Linked DNA regions of Saccharomyces cerevisiae S288C. The gene in region 1 interacts genetically with each later gene. Each region holds a gene or a part of one and is shown in the gene's direction. Other genes may lie near its edges.

The links.
Region 2: mutations in SAC1 (region 1) and COG6 together harm fitness more than expected from each alone (negative genetic interaction), as found in Saccharomyces cerevisiae (5 studies listed by BioGRID).
Region 3: mutations in SAC1 (region 1) and GET2 together harm fitness more than expected from each alone (negative genetic interaction), as found in Saccharomyces cerevisiae (6 studies listed by BioGRID, with this or other methods).
Region 4: mutations in SAC1 (region 1) and HOG1 together harm fitness more than expected from each alone (negative genetic interaction), as found in Saccharomyces cerevisiae (6 studies listed by BioGRID, with this or other methods).

Annotation. Positions count from the first base shown.
Region 1 is NC_001143.9:31,536-37,886, forward strand, and holds SAC1 (phosphatidylinositol-3-phosphatase SAC1), read left to right. Parts: upstream 1-3,007; coding exon 3,008-4,879; downstream 4,880-6,351. Other genes in the region: YRA2 (Yra2p), read right to left, coding at 1-158; DOA1 (Doa1p), read right to left, coding at 425-2,572; TRP3 (bifunctional anthranilate synthase/indole-3-glycerol-phosphate synthase), read right to left, coding at 5,164-6,351. UniProt on the Saccharomyces cerevisiae protein: Phosphoinositide phosphatase which catalyzes the hydrolysis of phosphatidylinositol 3-phosphate (PtdIns(3)P) and phosphatidylinositol 4-phosphate (PtdIns(4)P). Has low activity towards phosphatidylinositol-3,5-bisphosphate (PtdIns(3,5)P2).
Region 2 is NC_001146.8:548,325-555,546, reverse strand, and holds COG6 (Golgi transport complex subunit COG6), read left to right. Parts: upstream 1-3,559; coding exon 3,560-6,079; downstream 6,080-7,222. Other genes in the region: transcription factor TFIIIB subunit BDP1, read right to left, coding at 1-499; YNL040W (putative alanine--tRNA ligase), read right to left, coding at 797-2,167; YNL040C-A (uncharacterized protein), read left to right, coding at 2,989-3,069; BOP3 (Bop3p), read right to left, coding at 6,257-7,222. UniProt on the Saccharomyces cerevisiae protein: Acts as a component of the peripheral membrane COG complex that is involved in intra-Golgi protein trafficking.
Region 3 is NC_001137.3:323,430-328,546, reverse strand, and holds GET2 (GET complex subunit GET2), read left to right. Parts: upstream 1-1,515; coding exon 1,516-2,373; downstream 2,374-5,117. Other genes in the region: threonine ammonia-lyase ILV1, read right to left, coding at 1-70; YER085C (uncharacterized protein), read left to right, coding at 407-928; YER084W (uncharacterized protein), read right to left, coding at 1,096-1,482; UTP7 (Utp7p), read left to right, coding at 2,611-4,275; phosphoglycerate dehydrogenase SER3, read right to left, coding at 4,452-5,117. UniProt on the Saccharomyces cerevisiae protein: Required for the post-translational delivery of tail-anchored (TA) proteins to the endoplasmic reticulum.
Region 4 is NC_001144.5:369,018-374,633, forward strand, and holds HOG1 (mitogen-activated protein kinase HOG1), read left to right. Parts: upstream 1-2,602; coding exon 2,603-3,910; downstream 3,911-5,616. Other genes in the region: thioredoxin peroxidase AHP1, read left to right, coding at 1-294; CCW12 (Ccw12p), read right to left, coding at 680-1,081; YLR111W (uncharacterized protein), read left to right, coding at 1,374-1,706; YLR112W (uncharacterized protein), read left to right, coding at 1,774-2,193. UniProt on the Saccharomyces cerevisiae protein: Proline-directed serine/threonine-protein kinase involved in a signal transduction pathway that is activated by changes in the osmolarity of the extracellular environment.

The DNA of each region.
Region 1 (6,351 bases):
AGGCGATCTTTCGACCTTGATGCAGCATCCGAAGGCGCAAATCCCAGTCTAGGTCCTAATTCATTTCTTAAATCCCTTCTGCGGTATCTCGTTACCTTATGATTAGATGAGCTGTCTGTGTGACTATTTCCAATAATTTCGTCAAATGCTTTGTCCATTGCAAAATGCAGTATTGAATCGTCTAATGGAAAAGGTACTAGACGCTTATCGTTTCAGTTTTTTAGTCTTTTCCATCTATTTATCAGTCTGTACTCAAAATAACCTTATTGTATGTAACCTTTTTCATTTCACGATGATAATTTCTTGCCGAGTTAGACAGAAAATGACCGTGATAGTTTGTCATAATTTTCAATAGGGCAGAAAGAATTTTAAAGATTATTTGCTATCTAGACATTATGTGTTTTATATGATTGCTGTAAAAGTATTAGGAGAGATCGTCGAAAATATCCTTAAACCTTGGCACGTTCCCATAGCTCCTTTTGATGTTTGCAAGCCAAGTTACGGAGTTGGCAAATTGTCTTAATGTAGGTTCAACAGTAGCCAAATTTCCGTAAGCTACGGTTAGCCTATATGCGGCTTCTTCGCATTCTTGATACTCTTCCAATGGCCCATACTTGGTGTTGATGGCGTCAGCTACGATAGGCAAAAGTTCTAAATCAGAGTTCCCTTTCGTGACGAGAGCTGAATAGTTGAAAATTAGTGTGGAAACTGCAATAGCCAAATTCTGTGACTGTTTAGCAGATGCCTGAGAAAATTCAGTATCTATAGTCTCAAAAATTGATTTATAAACTTGATTTGATTCCAGTAATTTCACACCCCAGTTTTCATTATTGAAGCAATTTACCAAAATACGCACAGTTAACATGGTTAGAGTGATATTCTTATTGCCCAAGCCTTCTTCGATGTAATCTTTTATATCTGAAGAATAAGGTAATTTTTTTACAATCAATCGTACTATGTCGTATGCAGGAGTCTTAATTTCCCAGTTAGATCTTATAGTGTTAGCAAATGAAAGTAGCAACTCCCAGCTTTCATCTATGTCATGTAGTGCGCCACCAATTTGCGCCAGAATTTCATCATCAAAGGTCTTCTCATTTGAATTTATTTTTACTATTCCATTGAAAATAGTATCTGGGTTATAATTTTCCATGATAAGATACTGCTTGACAGGAAGAACCTTCATTACGCTCGTTTTTGAAGGTGATACTGCAGAAGATGATGCATTATCGTTGGGCTGGTCTAGCGATATGCCATTAGTGTTCTTCAGTATGAACTGTACTACTTGATCCCTATAACTCATTGGCAGTTCATAACGAGCCAAAAAATTGTCGGCTGCTGTATATGGGTTGTCGCTGACATTAATCGGCAATTTCAAGGGAGGTTTTCCATCTTCAATATCCACATCAAATACGTAGTCATACGTTTTACCCTCGAATTCTATTTTTTTGTCGTTTCCAGTAGCACCTGCACCGACAACATCACCAACCTTTTTCCATGAAGAATTTGAAAATTGATGAGCTTCTATAGTACCTTGAGGTGATTTGACTACCACAATTTGACCCTCTTTGCGCCCCGGCGATTGTAAAATTTCATAAGGTGATAGTTTAGACTCATCAAATTCTATTGTCTTGGAACTTATAGTGGATTTTTCCACTTGCGTAGATAGTTCATTTATTTCATCCTCGGAAGCCCATCTTGACTTCTCTTGCGAAAATATTCTCACAAGATTATCACTACTTCCCACAATAATATCACCATTAGACATACAATCAACGGACCAAATAGAGATGGCAGGAAGTGTAATTACCTGCTTTAACGAACCATTTTCCTTTGACCATATACGGACTGTTCGGTCTTCGCCGCAGCTTACAATATCTCCATTGGGCAGCAGTTTAATGCAATAAACAAAGCTTTCATGGCCTTCATATGTTCTTAGTACGTCACCTGTATGCATATCAACCAACTTGATGAGGCCATCGTTTGAACAACTGATAAAATGGCCATCATCCACCACAGCTAAATGTCTTACTACATCATTGTGAATCCCACTGAAAGTTTTGATCACTTTATCGTTTTGCCACAGTTTAATCGTCTTATCGGCGGAAGCTGTCAAGAATTTATTTTCTGAGAAGGATACGACTTTGGCATCCCATACAGAGGCATTGTGTGCTTGCAAATTGTAAACCAACGATCCTTCTTTCCAAACCTTTGCGGTTTTGTCCCAACTACCGCTTATCACAACACCATCTTGGAAGGATAAACTACAAACGTTCCCTTGGTGGCCAATCAAGGTATACAAGGGATCCTCTCCTGAGGTGGCAAACAAGGGCACACCGTTGATCATAGTATCCTTACCTCCAAAAAGCAACAACTCCTTCTCGGAATCATAACACACACTATTTAAAAATCCTTGTCCTGTATAAACTACCGTACCGAGCCATTGGTCATCTTTAGACCACAAGCGAACTGTTCCATCCCTCGAAACACTAGCAACCTTTGAATCATCCACAGCTACCACATCCCTGACGTCCTGATCGTGCCCTTTAAGTGTTGCACTCAATTGATATCCCATACTCCAAATCTGCTGCTCTACACCTTACTATCACACATGAATATATATATATAAAATAAGCCAAGACAGTGGCCTTCCCTTATTATCAGCGTACTAAAATCTCATATGATTTATTTTTCGTGGTCCTGAACGAGTGTGAAAAATTTTGAAAAACTCGCAAAGGAAATGCCAAGGTCAGCAACTTTCTCGACGTCCAAGCCTCGCTCCTATTGTTTTAGTAACCTGTAGACCTTCAATATTCAAGAGCTTGCACACGCACGCATTGCTGCACTACTGCTTACCCACACTACAAATTTAATTCCAGCTTATTGAAGTTGAAAAGGCAAGGGAAAAATACCACAGGTTTAGATAAGGAAATAGGAGAAAGGATTAGAAACCATATCCCTATAACAGTAACGATAATATTTATATACACGTATATTTTCTCGTCTAGATATGACAGGTCCAATAGTGTACGTTCAAAATGCGGACGGTATCTTCTTCAAGCTTGCTGAGGGCAAAGGAACTAACGATGCTGTTATTCACTTGGCCAATCAAGATCAAGGTGTTCGGGTCCTTGGAGCAGAGGAATTTCCTGTGCAAGGTGAAGTAGTAAAGATTGCGTCCTTGATGGGGTTCATTAAGCTAAAGTTGAACAGGTATGCCATTATCGCAAATACTGTGGAAGAGACCGGTAGATTCAATGGCCACGTTTTCTATAGAGTGTTGCAACATTCTATCGTATCTACCAAGTTTAACTCGAGAATCGATTCTGAAGAAGCCGAATATATCAAGCTACTGGAGTTGCATTTGAAAAATTCCACCTTTTATTTTTCATACACATATGATTTAACAAATTCCTTACAAAGAAATGAAAAGGTTGGTCCTGCAGCCTCCTGGAAAACCGCTGATGAACGATTCTTTTGGAACCATTACTTAACTGAAGATTTGAGAAACTTTGCTCATCAAGATCCTAGAATTGACTCCTTTATACAACCTGTTATCTATGGGTATGCCAAGACAGTGGACGCCGTTTTGAATGCCACCCCTATCGTTCTTGGTTTGATTACCAGACGTAGTATATTTAGGGCGGGCACAAGATACTTCCGTCGTGGTGTTGACAAAGACGGTAACGTTGGCAATTTCAATGAAACTGAGCAAATTTTACTCGCTGAGAATCCAGAGAGTGAAAAAATACACGTTTTCTCCTTCTTACAGACAAGAGGATCTGTGCCAATATACTGGGCTGAAATCAACAACTTGAAGTACAAGCCAAATCTTGTTCTTGGAGAAAACTCATTAGATGCGACAAAAAAGCATTTTGACCAGCAAAAGGAGTTATATGGCGACAACTACTTGGTTAACCTAGTCAACCAAAAGGGCCACGAACTACCCGTGAAAGAGGGCTATGAATCAGTCGTGCACGCGCTAAACGATCCGAAGATTCACTACGTGTATTTTGACTTCCACCATGAATGTCGTAAGATGCAATGGCATAGAGTGAAATTGTTAATTGATCACCTGGAGAAATTAGGTTTATCTAACGAAGATTTCTTCCACAAGGTCATAGACTCTAATGGTAACACCGTTGAAATTGTTAATGAGCAACATTCCGTTGTAAGAACAAACTGTATGGATTGTTTGGACAGAACAAATGTCGTTCAATCTGTTTTAGCCCAGTGGGTTTTGCAAAAGGAGTTTGAAAGTGCCGATGTCGTTGCTACTGGAAGCACTTGGGAAGACAACGCTCCATTGTTAACTTCTTACCAAAACTTATGGGCTGATAATGCAGATGCAGTTAGTGTGGCATATTCGGGCACTGGAGCTTTGAAGACCGATTTCACAAGAACCGGTAAGCGTACACGTCTAGGTGCATTCAACGATTTTTTGAATTCAGCATCACGTTATTACCAGAACAATTGGACTGATGGTCCAAGACAGGATTCATACGATTTATTCCTTGGTGGATTTAGACCACATACCGCTTCTATCAAGTCGCCATTCCCCGACAGAAGACCAGTGTATATTCAGCTGATCCCAATGATCATTTGCGCAGCCTTGACCGTTTTAGGTGCTACGATATTTTTTCCTAAAGATAGATTTACCAGCAGTAAGAATTTGCTGTATTTTGCAGGTGCGTCGATTGTCTTGGCGCTTTCAACCAAATTCATGTTTAAGAACGGTATTCAGTTTGTCAACTGGCCTAAGTTAGTAGACGTTGGGTTCTTGGTCGTTCATCAAACGCATGATAAAGAACAACAATTCAAAGGTTTGAAATATGCACAGAGTCCTAAATTTTCCAAGCCGGATCCTTTAAAAAGAGATTAATGAGTTCTATATGTGATAAAATGATGATTATTGTAAATCCAAAACGTAAAACCGAAAATATGATAAAAACGAGAAAAAAAGTAAGTTAAAAAATAAAAAAATAAAAAAATGAACGCCGGCCCCAGAGGGAAGAACAAGCTATTTATTTTCTTTTTTACTTTATCTTTCATGGTCATATATATATATATATATATATATATATATCTTCTATAGGCTACTATACATGAAGGCGTTCGCCCTTACAACGTTAAGTTTTTTTCCCTATTGTACCGTGTAAGTTTCAATTATTCGCATAATTCATGAATGAACTTCTTCACATCGGTTGATTTCATTAGGGCTTCACCCACTAAAAATCCATGGACACCTTCTTTTTTGTATTTTTCAGCATCGTCCCTGGTGGTAATTCCCGATAGAGCAATTAGAAGAACATCCTTTGGAATAGATTCTACCAAGTTACTGGTGGTATTTAGGTCTACGTTGAATGAATGCAGGTCCCTATTATTGACACCTACAACTTTAGCACCAATTTCTAGAGCCCTTTGTAATTCCTCTTTGGAGTTCACCTCAACGAGAGGTTCCATGTTCAAATCTTTACTGTAGCTGTACAGTTCCTTCAATAAGGGTTGAGATAGCATCTTGACTATAAGAAGGACAGTGTCAGCTCCAGCTAATCTTGCTTCTAGTATTTGATACTTGCTGAAAATAAATTCTTTTCTCAAAACACAAGGCCTCTCCTTGGGAGGAAATTTCAAATCTAGGATTTTCCTCACATTTACTAAATCCTGTAACGAACCGTGAAACCAATGAGGTTCGGTCAATACGGAAATTGCGGATGCACCAGCCTCTGCGTATTTGAGAGCCTGTTCAGCAGCAACAGCTTTTAAACAAATGGGTCCCTTCGATGGAGAGGCACGCTTGACTTCAGCAAGAACAACGGCTCTTTTATGGGATGATGACAACACCGTGTAGAAATCCTGTAACGGTGGGGCAAGACCTAAATCATAGTTAGATTGTAAGTCTTGAAAGGTGAAACCTGGGATTTTAGACTGCTCATTGACGTCTATTTTACGCCGAGCATAGATACGGTCCAAAATAGAATTTGAAGGAGATGATTTGTTTTCCTCCCAAGTGCCTCCACTGACGTTTAAAATGTTCCTGATCATCAGATGACCTTCCTCGGTCAAGATGGATTCCGGATGAAATTGCACACCTTCTACAGTGTACTTCTTGTGTCTTACACCCATGATAATTCCATTTTCGGTACTCGCAGTAACCTTCAAGCAGGATGGTAGGGACGATTCTGTCCCGGCCAATGAATGGTATCTTGTCACAGCAATACCTTGCGGCACGTTCTTGAAAATTCCACAGTTGTCGTGAGAGATTGGGGACGTTTTACCGTGGACAATCTCACCAGCGTAGGCAACTTCACCACCAAATACGTCAAACATGCATTGCTGGCCCATACAGATTCC
Region 2 (7,222 bases), on another chromosome or scaffold:
AGATTGTAGATAAACGTCGCGCAGTCCCATTACTGTTACTGGAAGAATCGAGAAATGACGGTTTAAAACTTGGACGACTTTCGTTGTCCTTACTCAGTGAAGCTAATCTGCTGGATCTCGGTACCTTCTGGTCTCGGTGGGTTTGCAAGGGTGCCGGTTTTAGAGTCACATTATCTTCTATAACGTCTGCTTTGGGGTTCTGGGTCGAGGCGTCAATGGGGCCCTCATCACCTATTTCATTATCATGTCCATTAGTGCCGGTTAAGGTAAAGCCTTCTAAAGAGCGTTCTCCAACTAGCGAAGGTTTCTCAACAATAGCCGTTTCATTTTCATCAACACCTTTATCGTTATCACTATTATCTTCTTCTATTTCTTTACTTTCGGGAATGAAAAGTTGAGGGGTTCTTGGCTTTGGAGTTGGTGTTCCTCCAGTGGCGGCTCTACGCTGCCTTACTTTAGGGGCAAAGCGTGTACCACTTTTATTAACAATACTACTCATAAATACCTGGTAATCAGTGGCTCCTTGCCGGTTGTTTGTATTTCTTTAATAGGTTAGAAGTCAAAGTTATAATTTCCTTCGCTTTGCGTTTGCATGTTCGAAGTTGTTTTTTTTTAATTTTTTTTTTTGGGTATAATAAGTAATGGAAAACGCGTCTTCTGGGAACATTAAAGTTGCCTATTATAAACTACATAAAAGAAAAGAATAGACCATGCTTATTGACTTCCTGAGACTTGATCACGATAAATACCTACCATTATGTATACAACAAATCTGCGTATACAAATGGCACATTTCTCAACATGATGCGAAATCATGGCTTAAATAATCAGAGAGGGCGGCAAACTCGGCATTCGAAATGGATGTAATTTTACCTTGCCACTTGCCACCTTTCTTACCACCACCGCCTTTTAGGTTTTGTAGTATCGAACCTAAGTTAGCAGCCAAATTGGCAATTTTTTCACCCGATTCCGAAAGAATTAGCAGTGAGCCAGTGTTCGTTTGTCTTTCATAACCGCATAGGATAATTTCGTAACCTTCTGTATCATCTTTCAAAAAATTAGATACTTCCTTGTGGATCTGTAGCAACAGTTCCAATGTTCCGTATTCTTCTTCCATAAAATAAGCCCTTTTCTTTCCACTGGCTTTCAGTGTGTTCATTAATTCTTCAGAAGCGGTACGTGCTAATCTCTTTATCCAATACTGTTCTCTTTTATTTAATTGTTGAATTTGTTTGGTTTGCCTTGTTATCTTCTCAGAAATTTGAGTTTCTGAACAACTCAATAAGTTTTTAGAATCCAGTAAAATTTTATTAACAGATTTTGCATACAAAGAAACCCGCTTCCCACACATGAAATAGAGCCTTGAGTTTGAACCTCTTACGGCTGATTGATTGGAAAGAATTAAAATGGAACCTATTTGAGAGGTACATTTCAAATGTGTACCACAACATGGGTTAGAATCAATGTCACCGATGTGGATAGTACGTAGAACACCTTTGGAGAGGTCGTAATCGTCTGGAATTTTGGATGTACTAACTTCATCTACTGTTTCTTCACCGATTCTTTCCTCTACAATAATTTCCTGAGGAAAGTTGATGATCAACTGATTAATCTCATCTGATACGTTCGTTATTTCGTCGAGAGTCAATTTCCTGTTCAACTCTATATAATTGAAATAGTCGCTAGGCTCTAGAACAGGTTTTTTCTTTGTGATGATACCACCCATCGACCAAGATACAGTGTCTACTTTGTAGTTGCGTTCCAGAATGGCACTTAACAAGTGTTGACCAGTATGTTGTTGCATATAATCCATTCTCTTTTGCTCGTCCACGGCCACTTCCACTGTTGTTCCGGGCTCAATGTAGTCATTGACATGATGCTTTGCATGTAAACCGAAACGAGAAACGTGTGAAACTAATATCTTCTCAATTTTCGACGAATTACGATTCCCTTCAACAATTTTCAAAAAACCAGAATCACTTGGTTGGCCCCCACCTTCGGGGAACAGAATAGTATCTTGTAGTTCAATCTCATAACCTTCAATCTCTCCCTTTTTATTCTTCGTTGGTTCGCAAGAAACAACCAGTGTTTTGAACCCATCGAAGAGAAATGAGTTCCTCTGGCAGGCTAAAGCGCCGACCTTGACAGGCGTCATAGGTGTGGGCATGATAACTTACCTTTTAATCAATTTTTGACGCTGTTGTGTGCTTTCGTCGATATGCGTCACCAGGATGTCTATTCTTAAGTTTTTTTTACACGATAAGGATAAAAAATAAAAAGATGTTAATGATGGGTGGTTGGTTCTTTTACTAATGAAAAGTGTAAGCATATTTCGTACAAATTGCTTGCAATAAGTCACTTGTACAAAAGTAAACTGATATAAACGTCTTCCTAGTGGGCTGAATTTCAGAATTTACGCGAGTGATACATGAATTTACTGATAATCGATGGTATTCGTTATTTGATAAGGTGGTATTATTGAATATACAGAATGCATTATATGCGCTCATTGAGGATATAATAGTCATGACAGGAAATCAATGTCCTACGTAATAACACTATTATTTCTTCCTTTGCATTGCACGTTGTTATGCATTACTCTGTTACATCATCAGTTCTTGTATTTCGGCTTTTACTAGATTTGAGATTGTATCTCATGGCTTATGTCACTTTCTTACATTGTGTGTGATAGGTATACTAGTAACATGGCCACTAGTCAATAAGCAACGGTCAATTCTTATTCCAGCAGTTCTTAATATGCATGGAATTAGTGAAGAATAGGAGCCGATAACTTTACTTGTGCATTTGTATTAAATTTACGTCCTTCTTATTTATTTCGTCCACGTACGTTACTACCCTTTTTCCAGTAATTTTTCTTTAACTTGAAATGGTCTTGTAACTCCTATTACATTCCGGTGCCATATCAAGAGTAGCCTGGTAATATAGAAAAATTCCAGTAGCTTAACAAGAGCCTATTTTTAATCAAAAATGCCGGAGCAAAAAGCCAACTGTTCACCAAACGGTAACATAACAGTTGATAGTATGATTATGTCGCTAGGATCTTCTTAAAGGATAACACGAATTACGAAACCAATAGAGGGATATTAGAAGGATCAGCTGAAACCTAAAGATCAATAATATAACAGGATTATAAGTGACAACATATAGTATTAAAGAAACAAACCGCTATATGATTGCATGTATTACCACCTCTCTTTTGTTGATACGCATATCCCTGAGGAAAACTCTCAGCACATTCCATATACGAGGGAAAAATTGGATTTCAAAAACTGGTATCTAATCCTACCGATGCGTATGTTAGTCGAAATCTATAAGTAAATTGTTAATGATTGCTTTCTGTTCGTTTATACTTCCATTTTACTTATATATCACCTGCCGTCTCAGACGACAAAATACATACAACTGGCGTAATGACGCTTTCATACAAAATATACATCTAAGGTAGTAATTCATTCTAGTAAATATTCATCCGAAAGCTGTAGTATCTGAAGTATATTGTACATTATCGTAACAAAATCCCCAGTGAAGTTTACTCACAATGGATTTCGTTGTAGACTATCAGACCTACGCAATGGCGGATACTGCCACGCCAGAATTACCAGAACCTGAGCCAAGACTAAACTTAACCTCAGATGCACAGTCACAGCCCACCGGTAAACTAGATCTACAGTTTAAGTTGCCCGACCTTCAACGTTATTCCAATAATAATGCAACTTTGCCAGTAGATAATGATGGTGCTGGTTCGAAAGACCTACATAAGAAAATGACACATTACGCAATGTCTTCCATTGATAAAATACAGCTTTCAAATCCAAGCAAACAATTAGGGCAAAATTCCCAGGATGAAAAACTATCGCAGCAAGAATCTCAAAATTTCACGAATTACGAGCCAAAAAACCTTGATTTATCAAAATTAGTATCCCCGTCAAGTGGTTCCAACAAAAATACCACAAATTTGGTTCTTTCGAATAAACTATCCAAGATATTGAACAATTACACATTGATTAACTATCAGGCCACAGTCCAACTAAGAAAATCCCTAAAGGTTCTAGAAGAGAATAAAGAGAGATTGTCCCTTGATGAACAAAAGCTCATGAATCCTGAATATGTAGGTACTTTGGCAAGAAGAGCATTGAGGACTGATTTGGAATCTCAACTGCTAAAGGAACATATTACGGTACTTGAGGAATTCAAACCTATCATTAGAAGGATTAAACGATTATCTTCTTCCGTCGAAAAAATACAAAGAACGAGCGAAAAATTACTAAGTAATGAGACAAATGAGGTTCCAACAAATAACGTGGTACTTCAGGAAATAGATCAATACCGTTTAAAGGCAGAGCAGTTGAAGCTGAAAAAAAAAATACTGTTATCTATAAGGGATAGGTTTACTTTGAATCAGGTAGAGGACGATGTAATCACCAATGGTACTATAGACAACATCTTTTTCGAGGTAGTAAAGAAAGTAATCAATATTAAAGATGAATCAAGTTTCTTGCTGACGCTTCCTAATTTGAATGCTGGAAATGCTTTGATAATGGGAGTTAATGAAATTTTAGAAAAGACAAACAAAAAAATCTTCAATTATTTGATCGATTTTTTATATAGTTTTGAATCCTCTTCAAATTTATTAAATGACCATGGTACTACTGAACAAGAAAGCTTAAACATTTTTCGGAAGAGTCTGGTCTTCCTGTCAAGTGATCTAGAATTATTTAATGAGTTGTTGAAAAGAGTGACCACACTGAGATCCAAGAGTATTCTGGATGAGTTTTTGTCTCAATTCGATATGAATTCAACTACCTCTAAACCCATCATATTATCGGCACACGATCCAATTAGGTATATTGGTGACGTACTAGCGTCCGTTCATTCCATCATCGCAAATGAAGCTGATTTCGTGAAGTCACTATTTGACTTTCAGGATGAAGACTTAAAAGATACCCCAATTTCTATACTTCAACAAAACAAGACATTCTTGAAAGGCATCGACAACAAATTGCTGAACGATATCATCCAGTCGCTATCCAATTCGTGTCGTATTCGTATCGAGCAAATCGTGAGGTTTGAAGAAAATCCGATCATCAATTTCGAGATTGTGAGGCTGCTGAAACTTTACAGAGTTATGTTCGAGAGAAAGGGAATTCAGGACGATAGTTCTATTATTAACAATTTAAAGTCGTTGGAAGACATTTCCAAAAACAGAATTATTGGATACTATGAAGACTATATGAAGCAAACAGTCATGGCGGAAACAAAAAATTCTTCAGATGATTTACTGCCACCAGAGTGGCTATCAGAGTATATGAATAAATTGGTAGAGTTATTTGAAATTTATGAAAAGACACATGCTGCCGAAGATGAGGAATCAGAAGATAATAAATTGCTCTCATCTAAGAATTTACAAACAATTGTAGAACAACCAATAAAAGATGTTCTGTTAAAACAATTGCAAACATCTTTTCCTTTGGCGAAAAAAAATGAAAAAGAAAAGGCATCATTGCTAACTATAGAGATAAACTGTTTCGATTTAATTAAATCTAGACTTCAACCTTTTGAGGGATTGTTTGCACAAGATGATGACAGCCGGAAAATCACCATCTGGGTTTGTGATAAACTGAAGGAATATACTAAGCAAATGCTAACTTTACAAATAAAATTCCTATTTGAGAATACAGGTTTAGACCTTTACAGCAATTTGGTCAATATGATTTTTCCTGTGGACTCAGTAAAGGATGAATTGGATTATGATATGTACTTAGCCCTGAGGGATAATTCATTGATGGAATTAGACATGGTCAGAAAAAATGTGCATGATAAGTTGAACTATTATCTACCTCAGGCGTTAACAGATGTTCAAGGTAATTTACTATTTAAATTAACGTCACCAATGATAGCTGATGAAATATGCGATGAATGTTTCAAGAAGTTGTCGCTATTTTATAATATCTTCAGGAAACTGTTGATTCATTTGTATCCGAACAAGAAGGATCAGGTATTCGAAATTTTAAATTTTTCCACTGATGAATTTGACATGTTGATAGGTATTGATCACTGAGAGATGAACAACTTCTGTTTAAAATCGTCTCACAAAGACGCATCTTGCCCATAATGTAGCGATGCTCTATATCTCAAATATTTGTTACCTTTTTTATGTTGGTATGCGGCGGGTATCTATATAATATATGGGTGTATACATACGTAGGGGGAACATCAAAAAGAAAATAATGATCACTCAAGTACTATTTAAAATCTTGCCTACAGAATTATCCTTTGTGATGGTTCTTACGGGGCTTTCGTTTCTACTACTGCTTTCACTGCATGTTCTGTCATCCAAGTCATCGTGTACTTGACGTCCTTCACGAACCGATTGCAGCATATTTGGTTGTTCCTTCATATTGGATTCAATTGGTTTGTCATGTGAGGTAAGTGCTACGGACACGTTAGAATGTATAGGGGATGGTGATCTCTGTACTTGTTTTTCTTTTGCTTCATCGATAATACTTAAATCGATCACTCCAAAGGAGGATGTGGATCTTGCACGCCTATGCTTTTTTTGAACCATTCCAGGTTTCCTTGGTATAGTATGTAAATTGTGCGTGTGGAGATCCTGTTGCTGTTGTGGAGGAGGAGGCAGTGGTTGAGATAGCGGCTGCTGTTGGTCTCTATTGAAACTTAGTATGGATGTCATTGTAGAAGGAATATTAGGATTGGTGAACTTTCCTATTGGAAGTGACAAGTTACGGCTGTGAAGAGAAGTCGGCTTCTTGTTTAAAGGCGATTCTTGAGATTTTGTACCAGAGGGAATTCGCCTAGCCACATCTTCCTCCTTAATGGAAATATTGTCATTCAACGCAGCAACTGCGGATGCACCTATTCTTGCAGGAGAATTAGCTCTTCGTTGTACATTTGTAACTGTGGAGTGTGATATACCGCCGGTAGAGGATGATGCTGGAAACTTATATGGAGAGGGCTGTCGACTCATTGGAGTTGGTGACACTGTGTTCATATTTAGAGGTTTTAATGACTTCATAGAACCATTCAATCTGGGCAGATTTTCTGAAGATTGCGTGCCTTCTGTATTGTTATGTGGTTGATTGCCCCCTGCCTTCATCGGCGAAGACGCCGGTACGCCATGGTCGGTGTTGAATAGTTTATGTATTTGATTTATGGGCAGACCTGAACTGGAAGCAAGCTTAAA
Region 3 (5,117 bases), on another chromosome or scaffold:
CAGACACTTTGGACTGTTTACCTTGCCGAACAACCGTACATAATGGTTGCTTTAGTAGAGTAGCTGACATCACTAACTTTGTGTAATTGACTTAGTTTAAATGTGGCTTGTAGCACTCACACAAGAAAGAACTCAAAGCAGCAACAACAAAAGTTTTCAAAGCTGATAATGAAGTATCTGCAGACATATGTTTGAGATGACTCTTTTTCTTTGATATTTTTTTTTTCTTTTTATGCGATTCCAAATTTGCTACCCGCTGCGCTTTTTCTTTTTGCCCTTCTTATTTTTTCTTTTTCGCGTCAATTAAAATTGAACGTCACAAAATAGCAGAGATAATATGCAATAAAGAGAGAAGAGTTAAAGAGTCTTGGTAGTCAGGAAAAGGTTTTCATATTCATCAGACATAATGAATTTCAAGGAGCCGCTAGTGAATTTTTTAAAATGCGTCTTGAATAACATAAACTCGGCATTTTCGCATAGGATTGATCAATTGCAATTGCAGCTGTTGCGGGAAACAAATATCTTGAGGGTTTTGAACAGGGGAATAGAGAGACTGTTTAGCGAGAATCCAAGGACCCATTCTGTTTCCCGTATCGTGGTGGAAAAAGATGTGGGCTGCAGAATTGGACGATATGTGGAAGGTTCTAAATATGAACTGGTAGAGTCCAGGGCGAAAGAAATACAAATATATTATGAAAGGATGGTTTTTGAAATAACACAAGAATTGAAAGGGGACAAGCGGGTGTTTGCCTTGATTGCAAATCTTTCCCAAAGATATAGCGCAGAGAGGAAAGAAATACGAAATGTAAAGGTGCATGGTGGGCGGCCATGTAATGAGAACGAATTCCAGGTGATTCCGATAAGATTCAAACCTATTAATTTGGAAAGAAGAGCACGACTGATAAGAAAGAAGAAGACTATTAATTAAAAAACTTACATACAAATACATGCCTTACTTTCGATGCCAGCATCTGGAAAGGGAAAGGCAGGGGCAGAGGGACATATTACTTATCTATTTATGCATAATTTGTGTTATATATTGGTATGATAACTTGATGTTAGAGAATGTGCTATTCTGTTTCTTGAAAATCTGAGTTAAGGTTGATACCGCTTTGATACAGCGGGTGTGACAGGTTTATCTGTGACGGTGACAGGGGCAGTAGAACTACTGGAAGCCGCAAAGTCAGAGGATACTGTGAGTGGTGGTGCCCACAACGTGGATGGTCTCAGTTTGACCCTAGGACTTGCAGAAGATCCTGTGGGAAAATCCGGGGAAGGCGGATGGCTACTTGGGTTGAGCATTACTCTCTTTGTGAAAAGGGAGGGAGGGAGAAGTTTGGGGATGAGATGGTTGCTCTTATAACATAAGGTAAATAAAAATTTGGGGTGACCCCGCCGTGCGCGTTTGCTGGGACAAAAGAACAAGAATAGGAACATGAAAAGATTTGAATGATATGGATATGTACAAATGAGCTCTTCCATGTTTGTAGCATCAGCAACGTAGCTCTAGGAAATATGTCTGAATTAACAGAGGCGGAAAAGCGCAGGTTACTAAGGGAAAGGAGACAGAAGAAGTTTAGCAATGGAGGTGCCAGCTCCAGGCTTAATAAAATCACCGGGCAGGCAAGCAGTCATTTGAACGCAGAATCACCTTTAGACGCTCCTAGCGCTGCAAAGACCACACCACCTGCGAGTGTGCATTCGGCTACTCCAGATATCAAAGAAGATAGCAACGTAGCGCCCCAATTGGACCTATTGAAACAGCTCGCTGCCATGCAAGGCCAAGGTACGGGTAAAAGTACCCCTCAGGACTCCTCTACGCCCGATCTACTCTCACTACTAAGTTCTATGAACACTGGCATGCCCAGTGCAGAGGGTACACCATCGTTTGGTCAAGCGGCTCCTGCAGCCCCGATCAATCAAGCTGCTTTGGACTACCATGATTACTTGCTGAACAGACTGAAAGCCTGGACCATTCTTGTGAAGTGGGTCTTTTTCCTACTACCCTATCTATACCTAATCACAAGACCAAATTCCTCTGTGTGGCCGGCCTATGCATTTACTCAATCAGCTTGGTTTGCACCTTTGCGGAACCCATCGAATTTCACTAGAATTTTTGCCACGTTTGAGTTCCTTTCCATATCCATCTACTACCAGCTATTGAAGAATGTGGAACACAAGAGCAAGATTAAAAATTTACAAGATACCAATAAACTTGTCAAGTTAGTTTCACTGGTGCCCGAGGGAGTAATTCCCGTCGCCAACCTGAAGGGGAAGCTAATTACCCTTTTGCAATACTGGGATCTATTGTCCATGCTAATCACTGACATTTCGTTTGTGCTAATTGTCTTAGGCTTATTGACGTACTTATAAATTCTAGATAGTTCAGTAATATAATACATTGTTCTCATAACCCGACATTATTCCCGGCTTTCTTTTCAGGTAATTGAAAAAAAAAGAAAAACGGTAAGAAAATTTTCTAAGCGATGAGTTCGTGAAAAATCGATGTATAGAACTGAATTGGAGTTCAATAGTAAAAAAAAATCCATATATAGCATTAAAAACTCAGTATCCTAGCTTTAAGAAACTGAACCAGATTCCAACGACACAATGGGTCACAAGAAGAACGGTCACAGACGCCAGATAAAAGAAAGAGAAAACCAGAATAAATTTGAACGTTCCACATATACTAATAATGCTAAAAATAATCATACTCAAACAAAGGATAAAAAACTAAGAGCAGGCTTGAAAAAAATAGACGAGCAATATAAAAAGGCGGTATCTTCTGCTGCGGCAACAGATTACCTTTTACCCGAGTCCAATGGTTATTTGGAACCTGAGAATGAGCTAGAAAAGACTTTCAAAGTGCAACAATCGGAAATCAAATCGAGTGTGGATGTCAGTACTGCAAACAAAGCTTTGGATTTATCTTTGAAGGAATTCGGCCCTTATCATATAAAATATGCAAAAAACGGTACGCATCTTTTGATTACTGGCCGCAAAGGTCACGTAGCATCTATGGACTGGAGAAAGGGACAACTTCGTGCTGAGCTGTTTTTGAATGAAACCTGTCACTCAGCGACATATTTGCAAAACGAACAATACTTTGCTGTAGCGCAAAAAAAATATACATTTATTTATGATCACGAAGGTACAGAATTACATCGTTTGAAACAACATATTGAGGCAAGACATTTAGATTTTCTACCATATCATTACCTGCTCGTAACTGCCGGTGAGACAGGTTGGTTGAAGTACCACGATGTTTCCACTGGCCAGTTGGTCTCGGAATTGAGGACCAAAGCTGGGCCAACTATGGCAATGGCACAAAACCCATGGAATGCTGTGATGCATCTAGGTCATTCAAACGGTACAGTATCCCTCTGGTCACCATCCATGCCTGAACCATTAGTAAAATTACTTTCTGCCAGAGGACCAGTGAACAGCATTGCTATCGATAGAAGCGGGTATTACATGGCAACCACAGGGGCTGATAGGTCGATGAAAATTTGGGATATCAGAAACTTCAAGCAACTACATTCTGTGGAAAGCTTACCGACGCCAGGAACAAACGTTTCCATTTCAGATACTGGTCTATTGGCATTATCTAGGGGCCCTCACGTTACGTTGTGGAAGGACGCTTTAAAATTAAGTGGAGACAGTAAACCGTGCTTCGGGTCCATGGGAGGGAACCCACATAGAAACACCCCTTACATGTCACATTTGTTTGCCGGAAACAAAGTAGAAAATTTGGGATTCGTACCATTTGAAGATTTACTAGGTGTAGGCCATCAAACGGGTATTACGAATTTGATTGTACCTGGTGCAGGTGAAGCCAATTACGATGCCTTAGAATTAAACCCATTCGAAACCAAAAAACAAAGACAGGAACAGGAAGTCAGAACCCTATTGAACAAACTGCCAGCAGATACAATTACTTTAGATCCGAATTCCATCGGTTCAGTGGATAAAAGGTCTTCTACCATAAGGTTAAACGCTAAGGATTTGGCGCAAACTACAATGGATGCTAATAATAAAGCCAAAACCAACAGCGACATTCCAGATGTAAAACCTGATGTGAAAGGTAAGAATTCGGGTTTGCGTTCCTTTTTGCGTAAAAAGACTCAAAACGTTATTGATGAAAGAAAATTAAGAGTACAGAAACAACTGGATAAGGAGAAAAATATTCGTAAAAGAAACCACCAAATCAAACAAGGCCTAATTTCAGAAGACCACAAGGATGTCATCGAAGAGGCATTGAGCAGATTCGGCTAAATCGAAATATCTTTAAAAAAAAAACTTAAATGATTATGTATGTATATATAAAATAGATAATCATTATTATTGCCTCAAGCATTCTTCTATCCATTTTTTTTTTGGTTCTTTTTAATATTTTATAGGAAACTTTTAATCATGTTCAAAAAGTTGACAGTATGAGAATCGATTGCATATTAATATAGCAATCTAATTGAGATCTTAGCAGAGGTTTGATTTAGTTGTTCATAAATATCTTTAATATCGCTTTGGTCAACAGAAGAGATATCAGCCATTAAATAAGCAATTTCACCATTTGAATCGGAAAATTGCTTTTCGATGTTATGGTTCGATAAAATATCATTGACGGTCTTCAAAACACCTGGTACATTTTGGTGAATGTATAACACACGCACAGTGTTCTCTTGGTCGTAAGACAATGATTTCAATGCCACTTCTGGGAAGTTGACTGAACCGACAGAGTTACCTTCATTGATGTATTTGGACAATGCGGTAGCCACTTCAATACCGATTGAGCTTTGGGCTTCTTCGGTAGAGCCACCAATGTGTGGTGTCAAGATGATATTTGGTAATGAAACTAATTCAGAAGTCCAGCTATTTAGCTCATCGTTAAATGAACCTTCACCGTTCTTAGCTGGTTCATGTGGATAAACATCCAAAGCAGCACCTGCAATTTTGTTGGCTTTCACGGCTTGGATCAAAGATGGAATGTCCACGACAGTACCTCTTGAAGCATTAATAACATAAGCGCCATCCTTCATAGCAGCAAATTGTGGGGCAGATAACATTTTTTCAGTTTCAGGAGTAGCTGGTACATGTAGTGTCACAAAATCAGATTTATT
Region 4 (5,616 bases), on another chromosome or scaffold:
GAAAAGGAAGTTGACCAAGTGATCGTTGTTACTGTTGACAACCCGTTCGCTAACCAAGCGTGGGCTAAGAGTTTAGGTGTTAAGGACACCACACACATCAAGTTTGCCTCCGACCCAGGCTGTGCTTTCACCAAATCCATTGGTTTCGAATTAGCCGTCGGTGACGGTGTTTACTGGAGTGGTAGATGGGCCATGGTTGTTGAAAACGGTATCGTTACTTACGCTGCCAAGGAAACCAACCCAGGTACCGATGTGACCGTTTCCTCAGTCGAAAGTGTCTTGGCTCATTTGTAGATGCTATGTAATAGACAATAAAACCATGTTTATATAAAAAAAATTCAAAATAGAAAACGATTCTGTACAAGGAGTATTTTTTTTTTGTTCTAGTGTGTTTATATTATCCTTGGCTAAGAGGCACTGCGTATACTTCAAGGTACCCCTGTGTTTTGAAAAAAAACAACAGTAAAATAGGAACTCCGCGAGGTTCAGGAACCTGAAACAAAATCAATAAAAACATTATATGCGTTTCGAACAAAATTAAAGAAAAAGAATAAATATAGATTAAAAAAAAAAAGAAGAAATTAAAAGAATTTCTACTAAATCCCAATTGTTATATATTTGTTAAATGCCAAAAAAGTTTATAAAAAATTTAGAATGTATAAATAATAATAAACTAAGTTTACAACAACAAAGCAGCGGCACCAGCCAACAAAGCACCAGCAGCTGGCAAAGCCTTAGCAGCAGCACCAGTGTAAGAGGTGACAGAGTGAGTTGGAGCAGCAGAGGTGGTGTTCTTTGGAGCTTCAGTAGAGGTAACTGGAGCAGCAGTAGAAGTACCGTTCTTTGGGGCTTCAGTGGTCAATGGGCACCAGGTGGTGTATTGAGTGATAACGTCATCGACGGTGACGGTAGCGGTGGAAACCAAAGCTGGGGAGACAGTTTCAGAACAGACGTGGTCTTCACAAGAAGTGATGGTGACCAAAGTGGTAGATTCTTGGCTGACAGTAGCAGTGGTAACGTTAGCAGCGGCAGAAGCGACAGCGGCGACAGCGGCGATAGAAGCGACAGTAGAAAATTGCATTATTGATATAGTGTTTAAGCGAATGACAGAAGATTAATTTCTTGGTATGTTAGGAAAGAATAAAGGAGAATAAGAATAATTAGAACAATGTAGGATGGAAAGAAAGATTATCAAGCATGCCGACTTTATATACTTGAACGGAGGCAAAGGATGCAAAATTTTCTCACATTTCTTTCTGCCGTTATGTTGGAAGTAAGACTCCCATTATCGCAATACTGCAACACGAATATGCAAAATTTGCTGAGTTATCGCAGATAGTTGTTGCAAAGATAGCGGCGTAGGTGGCCGCGAAATGGGGAATTCCAAAACAAACGGTTTTTTTACTCCTGAGAAATACTTGTACGGGATAATCCAGGGCCTACCACCCACGCTTCGAGGATTGGCTTTTATTTTTTTTTTTTTGGTGGCGTTTTATTTCTTTCCCGCTTTCTGGGACTTGTGCGGAGTTTTGAGAGGGGCGCGCGGCAAAGGATTCCCAAAACGGAAATCAGACGCCAATAGCCAGCACTCAAAGCAGTTCTGGACCCATTCCGATTTTCCCATTTGGTTCTTGCGCGTGCTGATTCCGACACGCGCGTCTATAAATAGCATGAAGTATCCGCACACCGCAGCGTTAGTGAGGTGAGGGTGGCAGCAAGCTAATTCCCGCATCTGGAATCTGAACTGCCCCTTTTGGACTAACCGTGTGGTTCATGGGTGGGCGAAGTGCGCAACCTCGAAGGTTTTCTTTTGCGTGTCGGATTTTACATCCGGCGGTAGCGCATGATGCCATGGCTGGCTCCAGATACATCCTCAGGGCACCAGCATCTATAATTAGATTGGCGCAACATGGCTGGCTGCACTGCTGTCTTCACTTCTTTCTTTTTCCGGCAATGAATGATGTATGTTTTGTGGCAAAAGGGTCCGCATTGTACCTGTTTACAGTTGAGATTATCGTTTTTGGTAGCCCTTCATTACGGCATAACGTATTAAGTTTCTTTTATTTTGCTTTGCCCTGGTTTAAAAGACAATGTCGATTAAAAGTTAATTTTAATCGATTGAAGGAAATAAGAGGAATAGCGCAAGTTGTTAGGAAAGCGTTCTTTATCTCCAAGACTTTGCCCTGTATATAATTAAACACCTCAAAGCGCTTCGTCATGGATGGAGATTATTCGGCATTTTGACATACAGGAGTGCCACATGCGAAAGCGGAGTGGGCGTATTCTCTGGTTACCCTACATGGTCTGGCGGCGTTATTATACGGGAGGATCTTCGAAGGGAAGGAAGGAAAAAAAAAAAGAAAAGGCCAACGAAAAGCAAATATTATCTATCGTCGAAATTATCATACTATCTTACAATAAGAGTAGTAATTACTTTCTTGTTTGTATAGTGGAAGAGGAATTTGCGATAATAATAGCAAAAGTAACTAATCTCTAACAAGAAACCTTATTTATTTTCTCTTTCTTCTATATTGGTAAATACTAGACTCGAAAAAAAGGAACAAAGGGAAAACAGGGAAAACTACAACTATCGTATATAATAATGACCACTAACGAGGAATTCATTAGGACACAGATATTCGGTACAGTTTTCGAGATCACAAATAGATACAATGATTTAAACCCCGTTGGGATGGGGGCATTTGGGTTGGTTTGCTCAGCCACGGACACTTTGACATCTCAGCCAGTTGCCATTAAGAAAATCATGAAACCTTTTTCCACTGCAGTGCTGGCCAAAAGGACATATCGTGAACTAAAACTACTAAAACATCTAAGACACGAGAACTTGATTTGCCTTCAGGACATATTTCTTTCTCCATTGGAAGATATATATTTTGTCACGGAATTACAAGGAACAGATTTACATAGACTCTTGCAAACAAGACCCTTGGAAAAGCAATTTGTTCAGTATTTCCTATACCAAATTCTAAGGGGTTTAAAATACGTTCACTCCGCGGGCGTCATTCATAGAGATTTGAAACCGAGCAACATTCTGATTAATGAAAACTGTGATTTGAAGATTTGCGATTTCGGTCTAGCAAGAATTCAAGACCCTCAAATGACAGGCTATGTTTCCACTAGATACTACAGGGCACCTGAAATCATGCTAACGTGGCAAAAATATGACGTCGAGGTCGACATTTGGTCCGCTGGTTGTATTTTTGCCGAAATGATTGAAGGTAAGCCTTTGTTCCCTGGGAAAGATCATGTTCACCAATTTTCGATCATCACTGACTTGTTGGGATCTCCGCCAAAGGATGTGATAAATACTATTTGTTCCGAAAATACTCTAAAATTTGTTACTTCGTTACCACACAGAGATCCAATTCCATTTTCTGAAAGATTTAAAACAGTCGAACCTGATGCCGTAGACCTTTTGGAAAAAATGCTGGTTTTTGATCCTAAGAAGAGAATCACTGCGGCGGATGCCTTGGCTCATCCTTATTCGGCTCCTTACCACGATCCAACGGATGAACCAGTAGCCGATGCCAAGTTCGATTGGCACTTTAATGACGCTGATCTGCCTGTCGATACCTGGCGTGTTATGATGTACTCAGAAATCCTAGACTTCCATAAGATTGGTGGCAGTGATGGACAGATTGATATATCTGCCACGTTTGATGACCAAGTTGCTGCAGCCACCGCTGCCGCGGCGCAGGCACAGGCTCAGGCTCAGGCTCAAGTTCAGTTAAACATGGCTGCGCATTCGCATAATGGCGCTGGCACTACTGGAAATGATCACTCAGATATAGCTGGTGGAAACAAAGTCAGCGATCATGTAGCTGCAAATGACACCATTACGGACTACGGTAACCAGGCCATACAGTACGCTAATGAGTTCCAACAGTAAACGTGTTTTTTTAATGTCCCTAACCACTCATTCTTACTTCTTTTTGATGTTTCTTTTTTTTATGGTACTCATAAAAGTATTTACGTATATAGTTGTATAGAGGAAACAAAAAAAAAAAGATAAAACTCAATTACAAAGTAAAGTGGACGTATTTCGATCATGATTTTTTTCTGTTTTAACCGCATTGGATTTTCTTGTAAAACTGGAAGAAAAAGGAAACTAAAAAGTCAAGAAAGACCTTTTTAAGACTCCAAGAACCGTCACTTATGGCGTATTGTTTGTTTATCAGCACTTCTATCTTCGATAAAGGTTTGTCTGTCTTATATTGTTTACATTTCAAGTCTAATTCTGTGCTTTTACCGAAGAGGAATTTTCATAAATACGGAGAAAATATAAAAAAAAAGTAAATACAGAAAATAGAACAGTTGAAGCAGAAAAAGAGAACTTGCTAAATAGCTGTCTCACCCAGACAAGCGTATACTTACCACATTTAGTCTTTTGCAATCTCATTCTTGTTGAAGATAACTATTACATTCACGGACTGTGGCAGAAACTTCTCCTTAAGAAATTAGGAACTCATAAAAGGAATCAGCAGCTCTATGTAATATCAAAATCTTTTCTATTTTTTGTATTTATGCTCTCATTCATTAATTCTAACGGAGCTATTTATTATAAACAGTGAAGATATAAACCATATGTCTAATAGAACAAATTTCAAAAAGTCTTCAATTTCGTGGATGTGGGAATGCATTTATTAAAAATAATGAATGGCAACATACGACACCAAAATAGGAACACTTTCAGTACTATACAGAACTACGGATCTTAGTTTATTGAGTTTTGAGAAATAGGTTGATATGGAGACAATTTCTTAGCGTTATTAGAGGTTATAAGTATACAGAATAACCTACGAGTAGTCCTCAAGAAGATAAGACTCTGCAAAAGGTATCAATAATTTTACTTAATCATAGCACTATTTCTTCTTTCGCTTTGTACAGCAGCTCATATATTCCATTACATTATCAATTCTTACATCGTAGCATAAAACACTAAGATTCAAAAATAGAAAACTGTTGTATCTCAAAATGAGATACGTCAGTATGACAATACGTCATCCTAAACGTTCATAAAACACATATGAAACAACCTTATAACAAAACGAACAACATGAGACAAAACCCGTCCTTCCCTAGCTGAACTACCCAAAAGTATAAATGCCTGAACAATTAGTTTAGATCCGAGATTCCGCGCTTCCACCACTTAGTATGATTCATATTTTATATAATATATAAGATAAGTAACATCCGTGAGTTAATCTGATAAACCGTTTTGACAACTGGTAACTTCCCTAAGACTGTTTATATTAGGATTGTCAAGACACTCCGGTATTACTCGAGCCCGTAATAAAACAAAAACAATAAATCTTGTTCCTCGTGGCCCAATGGTCACGGCGTCTGGCTACGAACCAGAAGATTCCAGGTTCAAGTCCTGGCGGGGAAGATTTTTTTGCTCCGACAATTATGTCGCTACCCTTCAGTTTTGTTGAAAATGATGCTTTTATCGTTAACTTTACTTATCTTTATTGTTTGCAAGATTACTATTAATATTAAAGAGGGTCTAGCAAGGATACTGCGATTGTTTCTAAATATTTCAACTTTCTACGTTATTCATCTTTAGGAAGCTAAAAAGCATTCAAAAGATTACTA